Linked DNA regions of Rhinolophus ferrumequinum. The main gene of each other region encodes a partner of the protein of the gene in region 2 in a complex. Links are inferred from orthologs where the notes say so. Each region holds a gene or a part of one and is shown on either strand. Other genes may lie near its edges.

The links.
Region 1: the proteins of RNH1 (region 2) and RNASE1 are in contact, whole or in part, in a crystal structure (PDB 3TSR), measured with the Mus musculus proteins. The link is inferred for Rhinolophus ferrumequinum from reciprocal best matches to the Homo sapiens genes RNH1 and RNASE1. Residues at the interface, in NP_001165571.1 of Mus musculus: Cys7, Asp32, Thr60, Asn89, Asp117, Glu145, Tyr146, Asn174, Glu202, Trp257, Trp259, Glu283, Ser285, Trp314, Lys316, Glu340, Glu397, Ser401, Asn402, Gln426, Val428, Tyr430, Asp431, Ile432, Tyr433, Trp434, Thr435, Asn436, Glu437, Arg443; in NP_035401.2 of Mus musculus: Arg26, Glu27, Lys32, Gln36, Pro48, Thr49, Gln53, Lys56, Arg57, Met60, Asn62, Gly63, Ser64, Cys65, Lys66, Pro67, Val68, Asn92, Lys94, Asn96, Leu111, Lys112, Gly113, Asn114, Ser115, Lys116, Asp121, Ala134, Glu136, Val143.

Annotation. Positions count from the first base shown.
Region 1 is NC_046289.1:71,815,119-71,826,425, forward strand, and holds RNASE1 (ribonuclease pancreatic), read right to left. Parts: upstream 5,555-11,307; 5' UTR 5,494-5,554; intron 5,287-5,493; 5' UTR 5,229-5,286; intron 2,298-5,228; 5' UTR 2,145-2,297; intron 1,489-2,144; 5' UTR 1,459-1,488; coding exon 988-1,458; 3' UTR 755-987; downstream 1-754. UniProt on the Homo sapiens protein: Endonuclease that catalyzes the cleavage of RNA on the 3' side of pyrimidine nucleotides. Acts on single-stranded and double-stranded RNA.
Region 2 is NC_046294.1:269,392-280,950, reverse strand, and holds the start of RNH1 (ribonuclease inhibitor), read left to right. Parts: upstream 1-6,713; 5' UTR 6,714-6,728; coding exon 6,729-7,101; intron 7,102-8,547; exon of another isoform or gene 8,548-8,817; coding exon of another isoform or gene 8,818-8,968; intron 8,969-9,173; exon of another isoform or gene 9,174-9,309; intron 9,310-10,184; exon of another isoform or gene 10,185-10,212; coding exon of another isoform or gene 10,213-10,312; intron 10,313-10,417; coding exon 10,418-10,523; intron 10,524-11,559. UniProt on the Homo sapiens protein: Ribonuclease inhibitor which inhibits RNASE1, RNASE2 and angiogenin (ANG). May play a role in redox homeostasis. Required to inhibit the cytotoxic tRNA ribonuclease activity of ANG in the cytoplasm in absence of stress.

The DNA.
Region 1 (11,307 bases), on a different chromosome or scaffold from region 2:
CTTCACCTTTTATCAGTTCACCCAGGATGACAAGGTCCTCTGTAGCTCCCTTTTATCTAAAACAGCCCGTACTTGTTAGTACACACAGACCCATGGAAAGGTCCTGGGACAGAAAATGTACCTCCCTACGGTGAGGGCAGGGAAAGATCAAAGAAAGAGGTTGGGCATTCCAGTTTTTAAATAATAAAGTTCATTAAGGAACACTTACATAAAATCATGCCTTGGGTGGCTGCAAGACAGAATGGATCACTGCGGCACTTGACAGGTGCCAAAGAATTATACAGGGTAAAAGGAGGGGGTAGTCACAGGTACTACTAGTACGTGAATGCTACCAGGTACAGAAATTATTTTACACGCCTGACCAGGTCAGGACAACAGCCCGCTCCAGGAATTAGCAAGTCACAGGAGGCAAGTGAGGGGGTCCTGATTTATTTCAGAATGAACATTGATTAGGATCAGAATGAATTTCGATTATGGTCAGACAGTTTCTAAGCAGGGCTTGTGGGAAGCAATCTCTGTTCTGACCTGGGACCAGCTTGCAGGTCCCATCATGGAACAGTCTCTCCTCCACAACACTTAAAAATTCATACTTGGCATCAAAGAATCTACAAGGAAAGGAATGATCTGAGGTCAGAAGAGGAGGCATTTAATGATTCCATTTGCAGCTCACCAAAGTTAACCAGATTTACAGTTCTCACCCCTGGCAGGAAAGCAATCATATGAACAGTAACCTGGATAAGGACACCTTCAGGAATTCAGGTGGTTGCAACTGAGTTTTATTGAAAGAAGAGGTGAAGTGGTTTAACATGGGGCCCACCTCACAACTCACTCCTCACCTACCAAACCACACAGGGGCAAGCCTCAGGCCAAGGAAGCAAGTTGTGTTGGATAGGAGCCCTAACTTGAATTATTTCTCTTAGGGCAAGGAAGGAAGAAGGGAGAGGCAGGTAACGCAATAATGAGGCGAGGCATCTTGCTGTTCTGGTCTTAGATGGAGACTTCTACTGAAGCATCAAAGTGGACCGGCACATATGGATTCCCCTCGCAGGCCACGATGATGTGCCTCTCTTTCTGGCTGGTCCGGTACACACAGTTGGGATATTTGGAGCCGGACGTCAGGCGACAATCCGTGATGTTCATGCTGGAGCTGCTCCGATGGCAGTTGGGCTGACCATTCTTACAGGTGACATTTCCCTGGAGGCAAACGGCCTGGACATCTACGATGGGCTCGTGGATAAAGGTGTTTACCGGCTTGCATGATCCCTTCGTCATTTCCCGGCGCCTCATCATTTGGTTGCAGTAGTTAGGGTTGTTGCTGGGGTAGCTGTCCGGGTCCATGTGCTGTCGTTGGAACTTCATGGCCCGCGATTCCTTCCCCAGGGAAGGCTGGACCCACCCCAGCACCAGCAGCACGAGGACTAGCAGTGGGAACAGGAAGAGGGGCTTCTCCTGAGCCATGGTGGCCTCACTCCCCCAAGAGGAACCTACCTAGCCAGGAAAGGGAGAAAGGAGGAAAAGCATCACGTTAGAAAGAGAACCCCAGCTCTACCTGTGGCCTCCCTGCTTTACAATCTCCCTTCAGGTTAGTCAGAAAAATGCCCCTATTCCTGCAAGATTTTCCAAGTAATGAATACTCGCATATACTCTTCTCCAAGAGCATTTAATTCCCACTAGCTACAGAGAGGAGGTCCTCCCCTCTGGGTGGTGACCTTGGAAGTAACCTAAATTTTGGCAGTCCTGTCTTTGAATACTGGAGGGTTTTTTTTTTTTTTTATCTAAAATACATTTAAAAAATAAAATATATTTGTACTCAGTGCTCTAGTGGCTCAATAGAAGATCTTTTGAATAAACCATGAGCCAAATTGTGTCCCTGACACCACCATGACATAGAGGATCATGGCCGACAGAGCCCTGTTGTCGTAGAACACAAAGGAAACTCAACCCAGTGCCTGACACTGGCATCATAAAGGGACGCCTTGTAGTCCAAAGAGAGATGTTCGCCTCCCCCCATCCTTCTCCAGCCCCATGGGTTCTCCGAAGCCCTAGCACTCCATCCCCTATTCCAGCTCTGCCCGAGCTGATGTTTGCCTAATCCAAGCTTTCTCAGTGCTATCCTCGCTCACCCCAGCTCCCTTCGCTCCAACCCTCAAGCAAAAGCAGCTCCTGAATCCACTTCTTGGACCACTACCTGGGTCTCTAGCTCGGATTCCAGGAGAGAGCAAGTGGAAGGCCAGTTTCTGCAGTCGCTGGATCCCTGGACTGTGGACTTTATGGAGATTACAAAGCGGCTTGGCTTCCTAGAAGGGAAGGGTGGGAGGAGCATCTTGGTTTCAGTCCAGAGGAAAACAAGGGCATTGTGAGGAAGGAGTGGGGAGTTACCTTGGCCACCCTCTTCTCAGGGTTGCTGGGGAGGGTGAGTCTTTGTTGATAGGGACCTGTCTTACCATGTGAATCACATCTGTCTGCTGGTTCACAAGGAGCAGCAGAGAGAGCCACTACAGCACTGATGCTCAAACCCCAACCAGCTCCTTATTATCTCATTTTCACCAAATAGCCCTTGGAAGTTAGCAAAGGGCACATAACATGGATCACAGGAGGTGGAGGGAAAAGGAGGTCCTGTCCCTCCCCCGGAGTCCTGGAGTGGCTTTGACCAGAATTTCACATCTCCCAACAGCACCTCTCCTGGGGGGAGCAGGGAGGGGTACCCAGCCGTCTCTAGCTGGAAGGCTTCCCAGAGCTGGAGAAGGAAGGGGCAAGTGCTTGAACAGGTCGAGAAGAAGGAAGTCTCTATGTGACCTGACCCTGTTTGGGCCACTTTAATACTCCTGAGATGTTGAAGGTAAGTTTGTGACAGTTCTTATCTACAGTGACCATTCATCCTGTAGGTCAGAATTTAGTAGAGGAACTAAAGATAAACCAAAATCCCAAATCCCTATTGAAGAAAAAATAGAGAGCATCACATTTCTTAGCAGCAGAATTTCCTCCTAGAGCGAGATCTGTTTTTGCTAGGTGACAATTTTGATACCTCTTGAGTGAAAATTATCAAAATTCCCTCCATGCTCTGTATTTAGACTATCTGAGGCCAAATTCTGGTTTAGCATCTTAAGAAATGGGCAAGTTACAGAACTTGATTTATTACCCTGGTCCTCAGTTTCCAGGTCTCTAAAATGGGGATAATATGTACCTCTTAGATTTACTATTAGGATGAAATAAGGTAAGATGAGCAGAGTGCTTAAAGTAGTGCTTAGAAAGAATCTATAAATGGTAGTAGTTCTGTGATTATTCACATGGGGTGCTGTTCAGATCCCCCCAAAGGAATCTATTTAAATAACACTGGGTGATCTTTTTTTTACAGGGGGGTGGAGTCAAATAATTTCCAGACCTTTGTTTTGATAAAAACCTGAGCTGAAAACAGTGGGCAGTTTTAAAATCCTGGGGAGGGGAGGAAAGGGGAAGAGGAGAGAAGAGAGGGACCTTGGTAGAAAGAACAGAATTCTTTAAAAGGAAATTTTAAAACTGTTTTACCCCATGATATCCAAAAAATCTTTAGTCAGGTCAATGTTATTTGCTGATGTGTACGAATTTTGAAGTGGAAGTGGGTCACAGGAAGACATAGCATGGCATGAGTTTTTAGTTTAATGTTCCCATAATTCACCCACTACCCTACCCTCCACCTACCCTGTTTCTCCAAAAAATAAGACGTAGCCCAACAATCAGTTCTAATGTGTCTTTTGGAGCAAAAATTAATATAAGACCCAGTATTATATTATATTATATTATATTATATTATATTATATTATATTATATTATTATATTATACTGGGTCTTACGTGAATTTTTGCTCCAAAAGACACATTAGAGCTGATTGTCTGGCTAGGTCTTATTTTGGGGGAAACACGGTATGTTTCGTTTGTCTCTTAGTCCTTGTACTCTTATCATCTTAAGGGGTGCTGGGAGGAAAACTTTTCCTATCCATTTAGGTTCATATCAGGGAGCCTGAGAATTAACTGACAAAAGACAGATCAGGAGACTAGACAAAGTTTGTTCATGTGCATGTGAGGAAGCACAAGAGTGTGGAGAGAGGGCAAACTTGAGTGTTCAAGGCAGGGTCTCAAGATCACATCGCATCACATCACAAAGACACATCAGTGACTGGCCTGATCCCAGGTGTGGAGGAAAGTGAAGGGAAGTGCATTTTTGTCCCCTCCACAGAATGCCTGGAAATTAATCTCTGAAATCTTCCTAGAGCCAAAGGCAGTCCAGTAAGATGGGAACTACACTGCATCTGTGGGCTCTGAGCCCCAAAGAGTCTCCTTAGAGACAGGCTGTGTGGCAAGGGTCCACTCACACCTCCCATTTTCTCTCAAGCAGCTATCTGCTCCTCTCCCAAGTTAAGCACCGTTTCCCTGACTCCTCTTCAGGAGTGAGGCTCTGGACGCTCTGGAGCTAACTCCACGGAGACCAAGTTCAATTTGTATTGTAGTAACTTGGGAGACTTTATGATCCTATGAAGCTAAAACATCTCTTAGGGGACAAACAGCATGGCCCCTCAAGCCTGTCACAAGCTATGCATTTATAGGCCTCAACTGAGAAACCCCTTCCCCAGCGAAACATTGTACAATCTTCTCCCAATTTATGCCTCCTGCCCACACCCCAACATTTCATCTCACATGACAACTACACAAGGGCAAAAAGCTTTCAAGACTGTGCAGGTTATCACTCCTGTTGATGATCCCCATTTTGTAAGACTTCTCATTTCTCTTTCCAAGCCCATTTGTCTCCATACATCTAACTGGGAAAGAAAGGGGTTCCAACATCTGAGCCCTTGTTTGAGGCCAACCAGGAACAGATTGTACTTTCCCAGGGGGCAGCCCTGACGTCTGTGTGAGCTTACCAGGTGTAGTCAATAGCCTGTTCTCCAGAACACACAGAGAATGGCCCTGGTCTCCCATCTCCCCCTCCCAGCCTCCTGACACTAGAACTGTTTTCTTCAGTCCCAAGGACAGAGCACATTCTTCTCCAAGCCCTGGGTCTTCTTAAGTGGAGGTCAGATATTGCCCACGGTGTCTGAAGAAAGACAGAGACTTGGGTGTCTACGGTTCCTGACAGGAGAAGACCTAATTACTTGTCCTCCTGGGTGGTTCAGTGGTCTCTTGGTTTCCTCCATTTTAGGAGATCGTCCCCCACCCTTCCCTTCTAGGACAAGCACCAGTGCCCCCACCCCTTACCTAAGAGCAGTCCATTTGTGCCAGCTCTTCTGATAGCATTCATTATTGACCAGGACTCCTGTGTGAAAGAAAACAGCTGGTAAGAGAGGAAGGCAGGGCACCTAAGCGATCTGGGAGCCTGGAATCTGCAGTCTCCATCAGAGCCACAGACCTTGTCCTCTCCTAAGAAGAGCTAAGCAATTAAATCAAGCACTTTATTTTAGATCCAAGTGCTGAGAATTCTCCCCAACAGAAGCAGCCCCTAGAGTTGTAATACAAACCAGACCTTGATAAGAGCTCCGGTACAAACAAGGACAGGGTTATTAGAAAGCAGTGGGAGAAAAGGGGTGGAGTGGGAGGGATCAGGAAGATTTCAGAGCAAAGATTACCTTGGGAAGGACTTTGAAGGATAGTTTTTTCACTGGGGTAAGGGGAGGGCAATTCAGACAGAAGAAAAAGTCCAGAAAGAGAAGTAAACACTGGTGGCAGAACACTATGTTTAGAAAATAGCCCGGGCCAGCCCAGTAGCTCAGGTGGTTGGAGCTCCGTCCTCCTAACTCTGAAGACTGCCGGTTCGATTCCCACATGGGCCAGTGGGCTGTCAACCACAAGGTTGCCAGTTCAATTCCTCGAGTCCCACAAGGGATGGTGGGCTCCGCCCCCTGCAACTAAGATTGAACATGGCATCTTGAGCTGAGCTGCCGCTGAGCTCCTGGATGGCTCAGTTGGTTGGAGCACGTCCTCTCAACCACAAGGTTGTCGGTTCGAGGGATAGTGGGCTGCGCCCCCTGCAACTAGCAATGGCAACTGGACCCGGAGCTGAGCTATGCCCTCCCTCCACAACTAAGACTGAAAGGACCACTTGAAGCTGAACGGTACCCTCCACAACTAAGATTGAAAGGACAACAACTTGACTTGGAAATAAGTCCTGGCAGTACACACTGTTCCCCAATAAAAGTCCTGTTCCCTTTCCCCAATAAAATCTTTAAAAAAAAAAGAAAATAGCAAGTTCCTCCATGTGACTAGGAGGAGGTGGGGGATGGCACAGAAGAGAAAAGTGTAGGCCTGAGAAAGAAGTATCTTGAATGCCTTGCAAAAGACTTCATTGTGTAAAAGATAGTCAATTACCCTGAACTCAAGGAATGGAAGGACAAAAGCAAGGTAAGGGACCTTCCTCTCGTCCTCCCACTATAAACACACAAGGAGCCTGAAGGAGCCTGAGGGCCACAGCAGGCCCAAGGTCAGACAGCACCTGGGCAGCAGAAACAGAAACCTGCCTCAGGTCCCCGAGTTCCAGGATAGTGTGGTCCCCGAGTTCCAGGATAGTGTGGTAACTACACTATGCTGCCTGGTGTGCCATAGGTAGGGAACAGCCCCCGGGATGTGCTCCCGAAGGTCTGCAATATCTTGTTGTGAAATTGATCTCTTCTAGCTGTGCATTTCCCCCAGAGTTCTCCCACCGCTCTTCCTGCTGTGAAGTGTGGTGGGAAAAGGCAGGGATGGCTTTGCTGCTTCCCCCACCTGTGGAGTTAGAGGAACTGGGAACTCATACTGAGACACAATCAGAGGCACTTCCATTGGAGCAGCTTTCAGAGGAGACAGAAGGCAAGGAAGGATGAGTGGTCCAGGCTCCCAGCTCTCTAGTCCCTGAGACACATTTGTTGATTCCACTGGGGGTCCTGGAAGAAGAGGAACCTGTTTAGGAGGAAGAAGCCCCCAGGAGTTTAGCAGCATCCCTCCCTCTCTTTAAGAGGCCTCACATGTCAGTTCCTCACATCAAGGAAGCAAGGTCTTGAGAAAAGTCATTTGCTTTGAAATTTTTTGGATCTTCCGTCTTCCATCTCCTGCTTTCCACCTTGTGTTAATCATTAGGACTGTTGCAATGAGCACAACAGTTCTTCTTTTCCCAAAGCTGGGAGACATTGTCAAGGGACAAAGCACATGGATGGGGAAGTCCATTCAGGCATATCGAGTGAAGAGAGTCCAGCCTTACCCAGTTTAGGGGACAAGTCTCACATCTGCTTAAGCGGAGCCTTTTATTGAGTCACAAAGTCCAACTTCCTGACCCCACTGGCTGACCTGCTTTGAGTTTTGGATTAAACAGTCCTGATGCCTTCACGCACTGCAATCTGATCTGGCAACCCAGCCCCCTCCCCAAGCTGGGCCATGAGGCCTCCATCAGTAGATCATGCAGTGACTGTGGCCAAATCATGGGACCTCTCTGAGCCTTAGTATTGTTTTTTGAGAAATGAAAGAGTGAAGAAAGATGCTTTGTAAGATCCCGCCCAGTTAAAACATTTTGTTTTTTGCAGTGTTTCTTCTTCTAACGATCTTCCTCTCAATACTTCCCAGGAAGAAAGATTGGATCTTAATATAAGATCTATTTCCTTAAGACTTTTATCCTTTTCACATAGACAAAATTGCTTTTGTGGCTGTATTCGCCAATTAAGTGCCTTTGGTTTAACTAAAAAACAAACTCATTCACACAGATACACAGAAAGGGAGAGAAAAATTCTCATCTTCCCCCCATTCCACCCTCCTGAATTCCTGTCAAAAGACCAGCAAGAAATGGATTTTTATCCCAATATGGACTTTGTATATTTTCATATTAAATAAAATATACAAACTCCTATCTTTCTATGAAAAAAATTAAATGTGTTCTGTGTATTCACATTTGAAGAAGTTTAAATTTTTAATTGTATCGCTGAGGTGGCATAAAGAATAAGCATTGCAATTTAATATACTAATTTATTATATGTTAATTCCTATAGTAAGAAAAAACAATGGTGACCTTTCTGTGGTTCCATCATCAATTCATTGGGTAAATAGAAAGTTTCAGGAATATAATCTTATCAGAGACCCAGAAATTAGAGATACATCTAGTAATAGCATTTATAATATAGAATTAGAGGGTACTCTAATGAATTTTAATGAATTTTGGGAACAACTCAACAGTCAGTAATTATTCATTAGGAAGTTCTAGCATATATTTCTCCAAGTTACCAAGTGGATGGTAAGTATTTAAAAAGATACAAATTATTAAAATTCCTGATAAACAAATAGAAATATATTATTTGTATCTTCATCATCTAGAAAAACATTAGCATTTTAGTGTGTAATTCTCCACACTTTTTTTAATGCTATGTATATGTTTTTATATAATTTGGGATACTATATATACTGCTTCAGATTCTGCTTTTCTCTTAAAATGCACAGACAATAGTTTAGTGGTTACCAGAGGGTAAAGGGGACGGGGGGATCTTAGATGAGGCTAAAGGAATCAAACATATGTTGATGGAAGGAGAGCTGACTCTGGGTGGTGAACACACAATGTAATTTATAGATGATGTGATACAGGATTGTACACCTGAAATCTATGTAATTTTACTAACAATTGTCATGACTATTTAAAAATAAACTAATTTTAAATAGTGGTGAACAAAGATGTGTTCACTTTGGATTAATTTATTGAGCTATATACTTACATAATTTGTTCATCTTTCTGCATGTATGTTATATTTCAACCAAAAAGCTTATTCAAAAAATGCATCCTAAACATTTATTCCAAGTCAACAAATATCTACACTATTCTGAACGGCTCTATAATATTTCATGTTATGGATGTATCATTAATACATTAAACAAATTCTCTATTGTTGGACATTCATAATATTTACAACTTTTTACATGTACACATTCTAAAATAAAAACCAATCCACATTTGCATTTATACTCTTATGTCATGAGTCAGGTTCCCCAGCAAACAGACACTGAGAAAGATTTGCATTCAGGAAGTTTATTGGAGAGTGGTCTTGGGACCAAACTTAATAAGGGAGTAAAGGAGGCACAACTGGGCAGTTGAATTCTGATGCAGTCACAATGAAGGTCTCAGCCAATCCCACAGGAAGCTCTAGAGCTAGAGTGATCCTTCAGAGTTGTCCCAAATTAAGGTAAAGGGGCCAGACCTTTGTACCCCCTCATTGTCCATTCACGAGATGTGGACTGCCTCGGGGGGAGAAGGCTTTACCTGAGGCCACTGTGGGTGATTCCCTGAGAGGGACTTGGCTGAGAGCTGTCACTACCACTCCAGCAGCTGGGGAATGAGTGCCTTGGTCCTGAAGTGGGGGATTGCAACACACACCACAGCATCCACTACACCTTGTCCTATTACTTCCTTGGCATAAATCTCTAGATGTGTTCAGAGGTCATGAGCTTTTGATAAGGCATTAGATATTATCAATTGTCCTCTATAAAGGTTATGAATATTTCAATTCTAATAGTAGATCAAGAGAACATATTTTTCCTCTGCAAAAAAACAGTATGTTACATGTTCTGTAATGTCCTTGCCCGTTCCATTATCTGTGATTCCACAGCATCTCATACATACCTCGATTATAACACTTCCCAAGTTCCACAGGAATTCTTTCTTCTCAGTGTCCTCCATTATACTGTGTGTTTACAAGGGCAAAAACCATGTCTTATTCATATTTATGTCTTGTGACCTTGTGCAAATAAATACATCTTAAATGAATTAATTGTAGAGGGCTGGGGGGTCTCAAGAGACCAGAGATATCTGCCATAAGGGCACTGACTAGAAAGAGAGAGAATACCTTAGAAAAGATATCTGCTATAAGGACACAATCAAAAGGTGATGTGGAAGAAATGGAATGTCTTTTTCATGGAGGAGGAGGATGTCATGATATTTAATATTCATAATATCATATAAAAAAACAAATGAAAAGCTCAGTTCTCCAATAAAGAGGCAACAATGGGTGGTTGCCACTATAGAGGGGTGAATTATCAAAAACAGAGAAATGGTGTAGTAGAAACAGCTCAGGTAATATAGAAGTCAGTGAAAAAGTGTTTTTTCCCAGCTTTGTCTCTTATAATTTGAGGGATATTTCAATAAATCCCTTTGGATGCTTGTTAAAAATAGTAATGCCTGCATCCCACCACCAGAGATTCTGATATAGTTTGCCTTGGGTAGACCTGATAATCATTATTTTTAAATCTCTCCTGATAATCGAAATGTTCAGCCACAATTGGAAAACCTCTTCAACCAACTTAATTTACCTCTAAATTTCCTCATATATAAAATAAGAGAGGGAATAAAATAATAAAATGAGAATGTTAGCATGGATTATCACTAAATTCTCTTACAACTCATTTGTTCTATAATTCTCTGAATCTAAATGAGCAAAGATGAGAAAACTCCCCAGATCTAGAGAGCTACCTGGACGCTGCGCTTCGAAGAAAGATCTGACAAAGGTTCTAGCTCCCAGAGTACTTCAGTGAGCGAAAAGTGAGCTCCTTTCTTTAGTGTGTCTTACCACAGCAGAGCAGGTGTCTGCATTTCCCCCTTAGAACCATGCAAGACTCCATGACACTAGCAGTAGAGGCTGTGATGCTTAATGGAAGAAAAGACTGAAAACAGGTTTTCGGTGGTGCATAAAGACCTTTCATAATGAAAACGATTCATGGCCAGTGAGAACAAGACAAAAATAAATGTATTTAAATGTATTTTTCTTACTCAAAGCTCTTAATGGGTACTATTTCTTTTTTTATTATTATTAAATTCATTGGGGTGACATTGGTTAGTAAAATTATATAGGTTTCAAGTATACATTTCTACAATACATCATCTATATATTGCACATTGTGTTCACCATCCAAAGTCAGCTCTCCTTCCATCACCATAAATTTGACCCCCTTTTCCCTCTTTTACCTCCCCCTTCTTACCTCTGGTAACCACTAAACTCTTGTCTATGTCTATGAGTTTTTGTTTCTTTGTTTGCCTGTTCCTTTGTTGCTTTCAGTTTATATCCCACATATCAGAGAAGTCATACAGTTCTTGACTTTTTCTGTCTGACTTATTTTGCTTAGCATGATAATCTCAAGATCCATCCATATTGTGGCCAATGGCAGTATTTCATCTTTTCTTATGGCCGAGTAATATTCCATTGTGTATATGTACCACATCTTTCTCCAATCATCTATCAAAGAACACTTTGGTTGTTTCCATGTCTTGGCCACCATGAATAATGCTGCAATTAACATAGGGGTACATGTATCTTTACAAATAAATGTTTTCAGATTTTTG
Region 2 (11,559 bases):
GCTTCTTCATCGCCCATGTAGGAAGTAGACCACCCTGTTCTTTTCATCGGCGCAGTGTTCCATGTGACAGATTTACCTGAACTTAATTTACTGGGTTAGGCTTCCAGCTGTTGGCTCTCGGCTCTACCTTATGCTGGCTGCTGAATTCCAGGGTAGGAAGCCCACAAAGTACACTCCAGACACTCATTTCTGGTCAGGTTCCGCCCATGGAAGGTGCTAGCAGGAGCTACGAGTGGAGGGAAGGAAGAAGCGCTGTGCTCTGCTTCTGGCAGTGCTCTCCGTTGGGGGACTGCCTGCAGGGGATGGCGTGCCCCTGGCCTGGGTGGGAGTCCTGCTCCCCAGCCTCTCCTTCAGAACGGCAGTGGCTGTGGGCTCCTGGGTGCTGGGCACCCCTCAGCTCTGGGTGGTGTCTCCTGCCTCTCTCTCCTCCTTGCAGCCTTTAATGACCAAGTCCCCCACTTGATTCCTCTCTGCTTGTCATATCTGAGGGCCTTCCGTCCTCAGGACTGGACACGGGCACACTGACCGTTCTCCTACTTCTGGATATTAGCGTTGTTTCCAATTGTCTTCTGTTACGAGCAATGAGGTAATGAACACCCTTCTATGGACTTCCTTAGGACAGACACCCAAAAGCAGAATTGCTAATAAAAACACACAGGTGTCCTACATTTTGATCGATATGCAAGGTGTCCTCCAGTGAGCTAGTATAAATTGGCATTCCCATTTTCACTGGATGGTAACACCAAATTCCCTAAACTCTCACCAACCATAAACAATAAGTCTTTAAAATTTTAACTGATGAGCCAAAGGCAATGTATTCTTGTTGCTTTACTGTACATTTTCTGACGACCAGTAGAATCGAGAGCCTTACAAAGTCTCTTGGCCAGTTACATTTCTCTTGTGCACTGTGACTTCATACTCATTGTCTATTTCATATGGTGTTGCCTGATTGAGTTACAATTAGCACATTCTGGACACCAGTGACTTGCTGTTATATACGTTGCAAATACTTTTATCTGACTTGCCATGGGTTTTTAATTTTTAATTTGGCTGTATTATAGTTTAAAATTTTTATTTAGTCAAATCTGTCCCTTTGTCCTCTACTGCTTCAGGTCTCATGCTTTGCTTAAGTAAACCTTCCCAACTCCAATGTATACCAAGCAGTAGTCTGTTTCCTTCTAATTCTTTTGTGTTGCTTCCTTACTTCTGTGTGTGGCATCAAGTATATTCCCCAAATGAACTTGCCCTTCAAGCTGTTCAACTGTCGTCCTCCTGACACCCCCACTCCCCACTGGGCTGCTTCCTTCTTTGTGACCGAAATCCCTGACACACTGAGGCCTAACAGAAGCTCCCGCTCTGTTCCACATCCTGTTCTGACACTGGCTCCATCACAGCAGCAGGGCTGTGAGCACGTGCTGTGGTCGCTCTCAGTTTTTAATGAGGTGCCGCCAAGTCTCCTTCGTTGCCTCTCTTTTTCAAACATTACTTGGCTCTGACAGTTTATTTTCCAGGTGAACTTCAGAATCAGTCTGTAAAGTTCCTTTTAAAACTCTAGATGGGATTTTCCTTTGGGTTGCACTAGATTAACAGGCTCATTTGAGAAGAATTGGTATTTTCACAGTGTTGATTAATCTCCTTTGGGAATAGGGTATATTTTATATTTATTTCTTGGGAAGTTAAACATACTCTTCTTCACATCGCCTACACATTTATTAGGTTGGGTTCTAGGCAGCGTAGGAGCGTCACTGCTATTGTGAATAAAATCTGTTTTCTCCTATATTTCTAATTGGTTACTGGGTGCCTAGGACGCTTTGATTTTCATACATCCAGCTTGTATCCAGGCTCCTTACTCAATTCTCTTACTAGTTCTAAGTCATTTCTCTTGGACGTTCTTCATAGGTACTCATTTTATTTGCAATATCATGGGCAAATCATGGTAGTCGGATCTTTTTTAAGAGGTGGATTTCATTTCTTTATTCTCATGCTTTGCATCGCTAGTCTTCAGCACAATGCTGGACAGTGCACCAGGCCCCCGGCACGTTCCAGGCTGCAGTAGGAACGTTCCCTGGGCCTTCCATTCGTTTCAGTTTCAACCTGCAACCAAAGCTCACCCCAGGAACTGCCACACTTGGGCAGATGCTTTCTAGTCTCTACTGATACTCAAAGTCCACATCACACACAACACGGCTGGTTACCATCCTCGTAACGCAAGTCTTACTGCTCAGTTTCCATGACCCCACAACAGTAGCAGCCTGAGGCTTATCTAGGCTAGGGGGACTCTAAGCAAAACAATACAAAATTAGGTACAAAATGAATATTTATTTAGAAAAGAATCACAATTTACATATCTAAAAGGCAGATTAATACCATAAACAACAAATATTATTTTCCTAGACTTTGTGATTTTTATCCTATAAATCCAGAAAAATAACATAACATTTGTATTGTCTGAAATACCTCTATGATGTGTTTCTGCTACATTATCTACTGTATACTCTTTGAGCATTTCTTCAGATTACATTTTCATAATTTATACAGAAAGGTTGACTGAATTAAAAAATGTTTTTTATCATTGATGTTCACAGCTTCTTATTGTTCACAACTTTCTTCTTCTTAAATGTTCACATCCCGTACATTTAAAATTCACTGTAAATTTGGGAAACGCTCGATCAAATTTACTCCACATACAAGGTTCCACTTGCTTAAGAAGTGTCAAATCTTAAAAGCTCTTCAAGCGTCTCTGAAGCAGCTCGCCACCCAGGCCCATGTGGGTTGTGTGACCAGCTCGCTCGTCACTGTCGTCAGTATGAAGTGTCAAATCCGGGAGCAACACACATCTCTTCCCAACACGCTCATCGCCTCCTCCTGTCTCCACTAATGAATTACCCAACAATTCCAGACCCTCTTCACCTCTTGTATTTAACATTTGTTTCTTCCTCTTAGTGAATGGTACGATCTGAAAAATTTTCTATTATAGTTTGTGCCTTGATGTCTCAATAATTTCTACTGGTATCAGTGGTCATTTCTACTACTTTTTCATATTTTATTATCTAATATTTCCCTGTTCTTTAAAAAACAAACTTAAAGGTGGCAAAAGACAGTTTGTCCAAAGTAGGAAGGTGTAGTTTCTTATTTATATTGAAATGTTGCAAAAAAATTTGTACAAATGCAATGAGGATGACACATGCTTAACTCGGGTTTTCCACATCTGTGCTCCCTGTGGAACATTTCCCACATCTGAGACACCCTGTACTCCTGGCCAGAGAGGAAGCATAATGGAGGAGTGGAAAGAGGCTTTAACTCGACAACATATGATGATGGAACCCTTTGCTAGGTCCCTCTTGGTGCCCTGGGGGGGCCTGTACAAGTGAGGGGTGCCAAACCCCACTGGCTTCAGGCTGAACTGGCACCACCCGTTGGCCTCTCTGGGCCACTGGCAGCTGTCCTCGACCCCTTAGTTGACAGTGAATGCTGGATCCCCTAGTTGTCCAGGGGTCAGCTCTGGGCCTTCCCCCCACAGCATTAAGTACCCACACCAGGTTGTGATGGCCGCCACTCAGTCATCTTGAAGCCCAGTCGGTAAACCCCCGGGTGTCTCACGGGCATCCCCAAATTACTATGCCTAAAACAGTTCCAACCCACCCCAAGGTGGTCCTCTCTCAGTCCTCCCCTCTCGTAAACAGCCCCACGAAACCCTCAGCTACTGAAGCTGACACTCTGAAGTGTCCCTTCCCCTCACCCTACAGCCAACCCATCACCACCTTCAGTCCACTGTGCCTTCAGAACACTGACTTCTCTTTCCCTCTCCCCACTGGACACCCTGATGGCCTCCTGCTCGCCCCTGCCCCTGCTCTCTCACAACTGAGCCCTACCTGTGCCTCAGCAGCCAAAGGCCGTCTGTACAACTCACAGGCCGGCCGGCCCCACTGCCACCCTTGCTGGACCCGCAGGGGTTCCAAGAAGATGGGTGGGCTCCGTGAGGCCCCCTAACTGACCTTCATGGCAGCCACTCTGCACCCTGTAACTGGAGTGGTCTGACTGTGCGCTCAACACCCAGGCAAGTGGCGGCTCAGAGCAGGTTTGATTTTAATTAGAAAAGGAAATCAATGTGATGTTTCTTACACATTGGTGTCATTACCAGCTCCAGTAAGGCCTGTGTACTGAACAGAAAATCAATTCCCCTTTCTGGCCTCCCCAAGAGCCTGGGGCCTGCTCTGTTCTGAGTTGCTAACTCCATGTCAGCCACTCTCACATGCAAAGACACTGTGGGTCATACCTGTTTCTCAGAAATACCTATTGCTGAGCTTCCCAAGGGTTTGGAGTAGAAACCCAACTACAGGCTGCACTTCGTACTCCTGAAAAGAGGGAGGGTCCCATTTCCTGAGATGGTGGAAGACAGGATGCAGGACACCCCTCTGCTGAGAACTAAAGAGCCGGGTACAGTATTAAGACAAAACCCCACATGCCTACTAGAACTGCTACCGAGGCAGTGAGGAATTGTGAGGCTAACACCCAGAAGAGGGGTCAGCCCCAGGCGAATCACCAGAAGCATCTGCTGAATCAGGAAACAGTAGCTGCAAGGCTGAGAAGCTGACCAGAACTTTCTACAGATTCCCAGGGCTGCAAGAGAAGAGTGGATTTAAAGGCCTGTGTGAAGAGGATGGGCCTCCTGGAGGTTCCCCAGGCTATGGGTTGGATCCTGGAAGAGCTACACCCCAGAGAAAGAGTAAGCAGGAAACAGACCAGCCCCAGTAAGAACTGAAGCTGGACTTTAAGTGATCCCAACCCCGTCAGGATTAAGACGCTGTGATGATTGCTAGTGGCCTAACCTAGCCGTCTGCTGTGGAAGAAGAGAACATCATCCAGGGCATCGTCCAATCATCAAATTCTCTGATTTCCTAAACATAAAACGTGCAACACGCATCCATAAAAAGTAATCAGGCATGCCAGGAAGTAAGATGTGATGAAAGAGAACAGGGATGCAGATAATGGAGTGATCAGACAAGGACTTTAAAATAACTACACTTAATGTGCTCAAGGAGCCAAAAGACGTGATTCCCAAATTTAGGGAGACCTGGAAATAAAAAACAAACAAATAAATGAAAATTCTAAAACAGAAAAACTAAATTTAAGGACTCAATGAATGGGTTTGACAGCAGATTAGATAAAGGAGAATTAGTGAACTAGAAGGCAGGTCAAAAAAATTAGAATGCAATAGAATCAAAAGGATATACAATCTAGTAAAGAGCAGAAGAGACATGTGGGATACAGTGAAAAAGGCCAAGCATATTTATAATTGGAGTTCTAGATGAAAAGCAGAAAGAGAATGGGAATCCAACACATCTAAAGAAAGAAGAGCTGCAAATTTCCCAAAACTGAAAAAAGATACCTACAGGTTCTAAAAGCACCATGAGCATCGAGAAGGATAAATGCAAGGAAAAATACATCCAGGCACAGTACAGCAGGACCGCTTATCTGCAGGGGATCCATTCCAAGGCCCTCCGTGGACTCCTGAAGTCACAGACAGTACTGAACCCTACAAACACTGTTTTTTCCTATACATATATACCCATGATAAAGTTTAATTTATAAATTAGATACAGAAAGAGATGAATACCAATAACTAATTGGTAATAAAATAGATCGATTATAATATACTGTAATAAAAGTTATATGAATGTGGTCTTGCTCTCTCTCAAAATAGCTTATACTGTACTCACCTTTTCACTTAAAGCAAGCATTTTATGGCCTTCCTTTGGCACATCTGAATTCCCAGCATTACTAGTTTTACGCTTTGGACCATTATTAGTAAAATAAGGGTTAAACACAAGCAATGCGATACTGTAACAGTCGATCTTATAACTGCGAAGGCTACTAAGTGGCTAATGGGCAGGGGGTGTTTACAGCACGGAGACACCAGACAAACGGAATGATTCACATCCTGGGAGGGGCAGAACGAGATTAGAACAGCGCACAACTTAAACCTCATGACTTGCTTATTTCTGGAATTTTCATTTAATATTTTTGGACCATGGTTCGTCACAGGTAACTGAAAGCACAGAAAGTGAAACCTTGGGTAAAGGGGGACTGCTGTATAGAACTGCTGACTGAAAATAAAGAGAAAATCTTTAAAGCAGCCAGGAAGACATGCCTTCTTCAAAGGAGCAACAATAAGACTGACAGAAAGTGTGGAAGTCAGAAAACAATGGAATAACATCCTCAGAGTGCTGACAGAAATAACTGCAAACCTGTAATTCTATACCCAGTAAAAATGTCCTTCAAAAACAGAGGACACACAAAGAAATTTTCAGAGAAACAAAAACGGGTAGAATCCATCACCAGTAAACTTACATACAGCAAATGCAGTACTGGATGGAAGGTATCCTCCAGGGTTTCTAGCTGTTCTGCTCAATGTTGAACCCTCAGCACCTACAACACGACCCAGCACAAAGGCGCTACTCAGTAAATACTGAATGAGTGCATTTAGGAAGACAACTGTCAACAGTCACTGACAATGTTACAGGAGTGAAACATGACTCAGACTACAAATGTTGCCGTAACGAATAACATTGACTCTTTCCTACAAAATCACGTCTGTCTACCTGTCTATCAAAGTACATTTCTCTCCAGCCCTACGACGCGCCGCAGAGGCCTGTTGTGCAAAATCTTGAGACCTAGACTAAGACTTGGCTCCAAGTCACGGAACCCACGTCCTGCCCGCCGCGTTAATGCCACGACCAGGCCCCGAGAGGCGAGCTCGAGCCCGGAGGCCGGGTCCTCACCACGTCCATATCCAAGGCCCGCTCACCTCACGCGCCCGTCGGTCCATCAGTCCCAGCGCAGCCGCGTGGGAAACGGGGAGGGCCACGCCTGGACCACGACTCCGCCCCACCACCACGTGGGTGCGCCGAAACCCGCCACTTCGCTACGCAGAGCCGGCGCCCGCCCCACGCGAGGTCCAGCCTCCGCCGACCAGACCACGCCCCCACCGCTCGTGGCGACCCGGCAGACCTCGCCCCGCTAGGCCCGCTCCATCCCCCCGTCCTAAGTGGCCGTCTGCCTCCTGGTTACAGGCGAGTGACAGTCCGCCGTCGCCTCGAGGTCAGTCACTCCCGCAGTCCGACAGCCCGTGCGCCCGTCCGACGGCCGGCCAGCCTGGGGCCAGCCCTTACCAGCGCCGGCTTTGGTGGGGTCGCCTGCGGACGCGCGCCAGCTGCTGCTGCGGCCCTGCTGCCACGGCTGGACGGGCGCTCGTGAGGCGGGGCGAAGGCGGGTAGGCGCGGGAATTGTGGGGACCGGGGACACCCGGACCGGCACAGGCGAGGTGGGGCCGCGCACGCTGAGGCCGCAGCGCCGCCCAGCGGACGTCGGCGCGCACGGAGGACGTCAGAGCGCCCGAGTGCGCCGCCGCGCGTGCGCACCCGCCACCAAGCCTACTCCCGAGGCACGCTGGGAGTCCGGCGCGGAGGCGTCGTCTGCGCTTGCGTGGTCCGCGATCGGTGGGTCTTCCGCAGCGCGCTCGTGAGGTCCACCCTGATCCCCTTGTCAGTTGGTGCCCAGCAAGCTACTGTCCCAGTTGAGTCACACTTTACTTTATTCCCGCAAAGAACCGACGACCCCAGCAACCAGTGGGGTCCTCATCCCACATCCGCAATGTGCTGCCCCCTGGCGGCCACGAAGATTAGGCCAGGTCTGCCGTGAGCACTGCGACGTTGGTGGGGGATATTCCAGGCCCGTCCCAGCCAGTGTGCTGTCGCTGTGAGGGACCTGCCTGACCCTGCCCCGCCACTCCGGCATTCCGGATTCCCTTTTATTATGCGTTATTTCCCTCCTTTGCACTTCCCACATTCTAAATACTATTAATTTACTTTTGAGTTCCCTTCGTCACTCTGGAGCTTGAGCTCCACGAGGGCTGGCTGAGACCTTTGCCTTGCTTTGCCCTTGGATGTAGCCCAAGAACGGTGCCTGGCACACAGTAGGTGTTCAGTAGCCGTTGGTTGAATTGATGAATTCCTGAGCGATGAGGACTCGTGGAACATCCCTGTTCTAACAAGTGTACAAGTCAGGAGGGGACGCTCTTGAATAAGTGACTGCAGCCGCTTGACAGACACGCGCGGCAGCTCTGGGCGCCCACGGAGGTGACCTGCCAAGGCAGTGTCCACCTCAAGAGTTGTTCAAGCATAATGCTATACGTCCTGATGTGCAAGTTTAAAAAATTAAGCAATGCACCCTCCGAGGTCGTTCCGTGTCAGTATAGTTTTGTTACCTAGCAGAGTATGGATGTGTCGTAAATTATTTAACCATTTCCTGCTTATAGACCTTTAGATTGTTTCCAGGTTTGGACGGTTACAAAAGGCTGCAAAAAGACGTTTTGAACGTGTCTCCTGCGTTCATGCATGAATAGGTCTCTTGATTGATACGGCGAAATGGGTGTGTGCGTGTTTTACATAAGACACATTGCGCTCCCAAAAGCCTGACGAATTAATTACAGTCTCACCCATGTCAGCACGTCCACAACAAACAATCGTCAATCTCTCCCACTTCCAGTCTGGTAGCAAAGAAGTGTCGGGTATTTTGTTTCTGCCCCGGAACCGGCCTGGTGCTGGGAGGAGGCGGAAGAAGGGAGACGCGCCGCGGTCTCGGTGGGGGTCGCCCCCTCCCGCGCGCCTGCGCCCCTCTTGGCGAGCTGGCCCGTGCCCTGCCTGTTCTGGCAGATAAAGCCGAAAGGCCCATTGGGGCCAGAAAGTGGAAAATCATATGTGGACGCGGAGCTTGACGCTGGGCTCCGCGGAATGCGGCGACACTTAATTAGAGGCGATGGCTCGGCGCGCGTCTCGGAAAGAGCCGCTGGGACAGGCCCTCCCCGGGGCCAGTGCCCGCCGCCCCGCCGGGACCCCGCCCCGACCGGCGGCCCCGCCCCCAGTCCAGGCCGCAGCAGCTGGTCGGGTTTGCGGCGGCGCGGCGCGAGGTGAGTTGCAGATTCTGGGGTTCCCGGGGTTCGAGGGTCCTGGGGTCCGAGCGGGCCAGGTTGCGGGGGACCTTCTGCGGCGCCCCCTGGCGGAGCGGGCGAACTCGGGCGACACTGCGGGCGTGTTCTGGGGCCCGAGAAGGGCGCGGCCGGGCGCCGGGGACCCTGTCCGAGCGCCGTCTGAGCGCGGCCCGTTTCTTCCTAGAGTGACCGCGCCGACCCCAGCCCGAGGCCACCCGGAAACACGCGGAGCCTCGGGCCGGCGCGGAGGGCGGCGGCGGCCCTGGGCGGCCTCGCGCGGACCCCCGTTCGCTCCCGGCTGTTCCCCGCGCCTCGCAGAGGTAACCTGCGGTCCAGGGCTACCCTGCTCGCGGCTCAGTGACCCGGAAGACATAGGGACATAGGCCGTGGGCGCTGCCCCGGTGAAGGCCTAATCCCATCTCGTGCCCTCAGGGCAGGTCCTGCTGAGCTGCTAGTTGTCACACTTGAAACCACTGATTAGGGGCGTTGTTCTGCTCCTGGACCCCAGACTTGGGACCCTAGGAAGCAGCCCAGCTGGGGGACTGACTCCCAGTGAGGCGGTGGGCCTGAAATGTGCTTGTCCAGGTTTAGATTAGGGGCCTTTAACCGGGGCATCTTTTGGGCGATGTTGCATGTTTTCATGGGGTTCTCAAAGGGATCATTGAGCCCCAGAAATTAAGAAATGTCTTCCTGGCCCAAAGGCCCAACCAGGGGGACACCCCAATGTCTGGTTAAGCCTGGGCCCAGGAGGGCTCAGAATCAGCAGGCCGGTCCATGACTGAAGATTCTGAGTCAGGGTTTGGGTGACCACACCCTGGGCTCCCAGCAGGGGCGGATACGCTTTTGCTCACATGCTCTGGCTACGGATTGGGTAGACTCAACTCCTCTGTGTGACAGTTGGGTGACATGGCCAGTCCCAGATGCCCTCACCTCAGTTTCAGCAGGCCCATCTGCTGGGATCAGCAAACATGAATTTTTCCTGCTGGCCGTCACTCAGGAGTGGAAGTGGAGCATTGGCCTGGGCCACTCTCCCCTCTGTGGGCTCCATTCAGCAAAGCCAGGCAGTGCCAAGCTGGCACACAAACATGTGAGGCACTGTTCTCAGGAACCCGGGGATTTCAGGGAGCCAGGTCCTCACATGGGGCTGAGTCATTCTGTTGGGCAGGGCCATTTTAAAGGGCAGCTCAAATCGCATCACTTCCAGGACTTTCTGCAGCACCTGAATGAAAGCCAACTCCCTGCATCTCAGCACCCAGGGCTCTTCTCCCAACCCCACCTTCAGGGCCTCAGGTTACTGTGTATTCAGGCTCCGGCTGGTCCCTGGTGAGCTTAGGGCCTTTCACCTGCTCCCAGCCCGCCTGCTGGACCTCTGGCTTCCCAGACCTGAGACCGGTTGGCTCACTCCTCCCCCTCCCGTCTTCCACCTAGAAAACCCCGCCTCTCTCATCATGAGTGTGGACATCCACTACGAGCAGCTGAGTGACGACCAGTGGAGGGAGCTCCTGCCTCGGATGCAGCAGCAGCAGGTGGTCAGGTAGAGACGCCCTTGCCCACGCCCTTGCGGGGTGGCCGGTGGGCTGGGGGCCCACGAGTGGGCGTGCTGGGCTCTGAAAGCTCTCAGCTCGTGGACACACAATGTAGACTCTGTGTCACATGGTGTGAAAGGTTATTCTTGTATTTTACCCAACCATTTAAAAACGTGAGCCTGTTCCCAGGTGGGCGGAGTGGCCGGCCAGGGTCTCTGGCTCGGCTCCTTCCTCAGGGACGCAATCACGTCAGTTGGCTGCGTGCAGGTGTGGCTTGTCCCTTCGCTGCCCGTTCTCACACAGCAGTTCCTCAGGCTTCACAACAGATACCTGCCTGCTTGTCTTAAACTTTTGGACGTAGATTGAGGTTCACAGAAGAGTTATGAAGATGCTTTGGGGGCTCTGTGCCCCTCGTCCCGTGTCCCCTGAAGTCAGTGCCCCATCACCTGGGCCACTGGTCAAACTGAGGAGCCCAGTACAGCCACCTTGACTCCGGTATCACCAGCATTCCCAGTCAGTGCAGGATCCCACGGACCATTTGTCGTCAGGTCTCCTTGGCCCCCTCCCATCTGGGACGGTCCCTGTGTCCCTCTTTGTCCTTGGTCATCTGCCTCGTGGGTCAGCTCCAGTCTGGAGAAAGTCCCTCTGATGTCTTCTTGTGGCTGAGTCACATATTTTTGGCAAGAATACATAGAAAAGATGCTGTGTCCTATCTGGAATACTGTGTTGTGGGATGTATGGTCACGATGGCACCGTATGGTCACTGCTGTCACGTGACCACCTGTTAGGTGGGGGTCTGCCGGTTCTCCAGGACTGTTTTGCCCTTTGGAACTGGTAAATACGTTGGGTGATGTGCCTTGACTCTGCTTGTGTCCTTTTCTGTTCAGTGTCCCTCCTGAGGTTGGCCTCCCTCGGGGGGTGTTGCCAGAATGGTCATGACTGGGCCTTCGTCTGACTGGGCCTTTGTCTGACTGGGGGTTTTAGTGTCTTTATTCCTTGCCATTTTTCATTTGTCCCCTGACCCCATGTTGACTCCATCTCCCA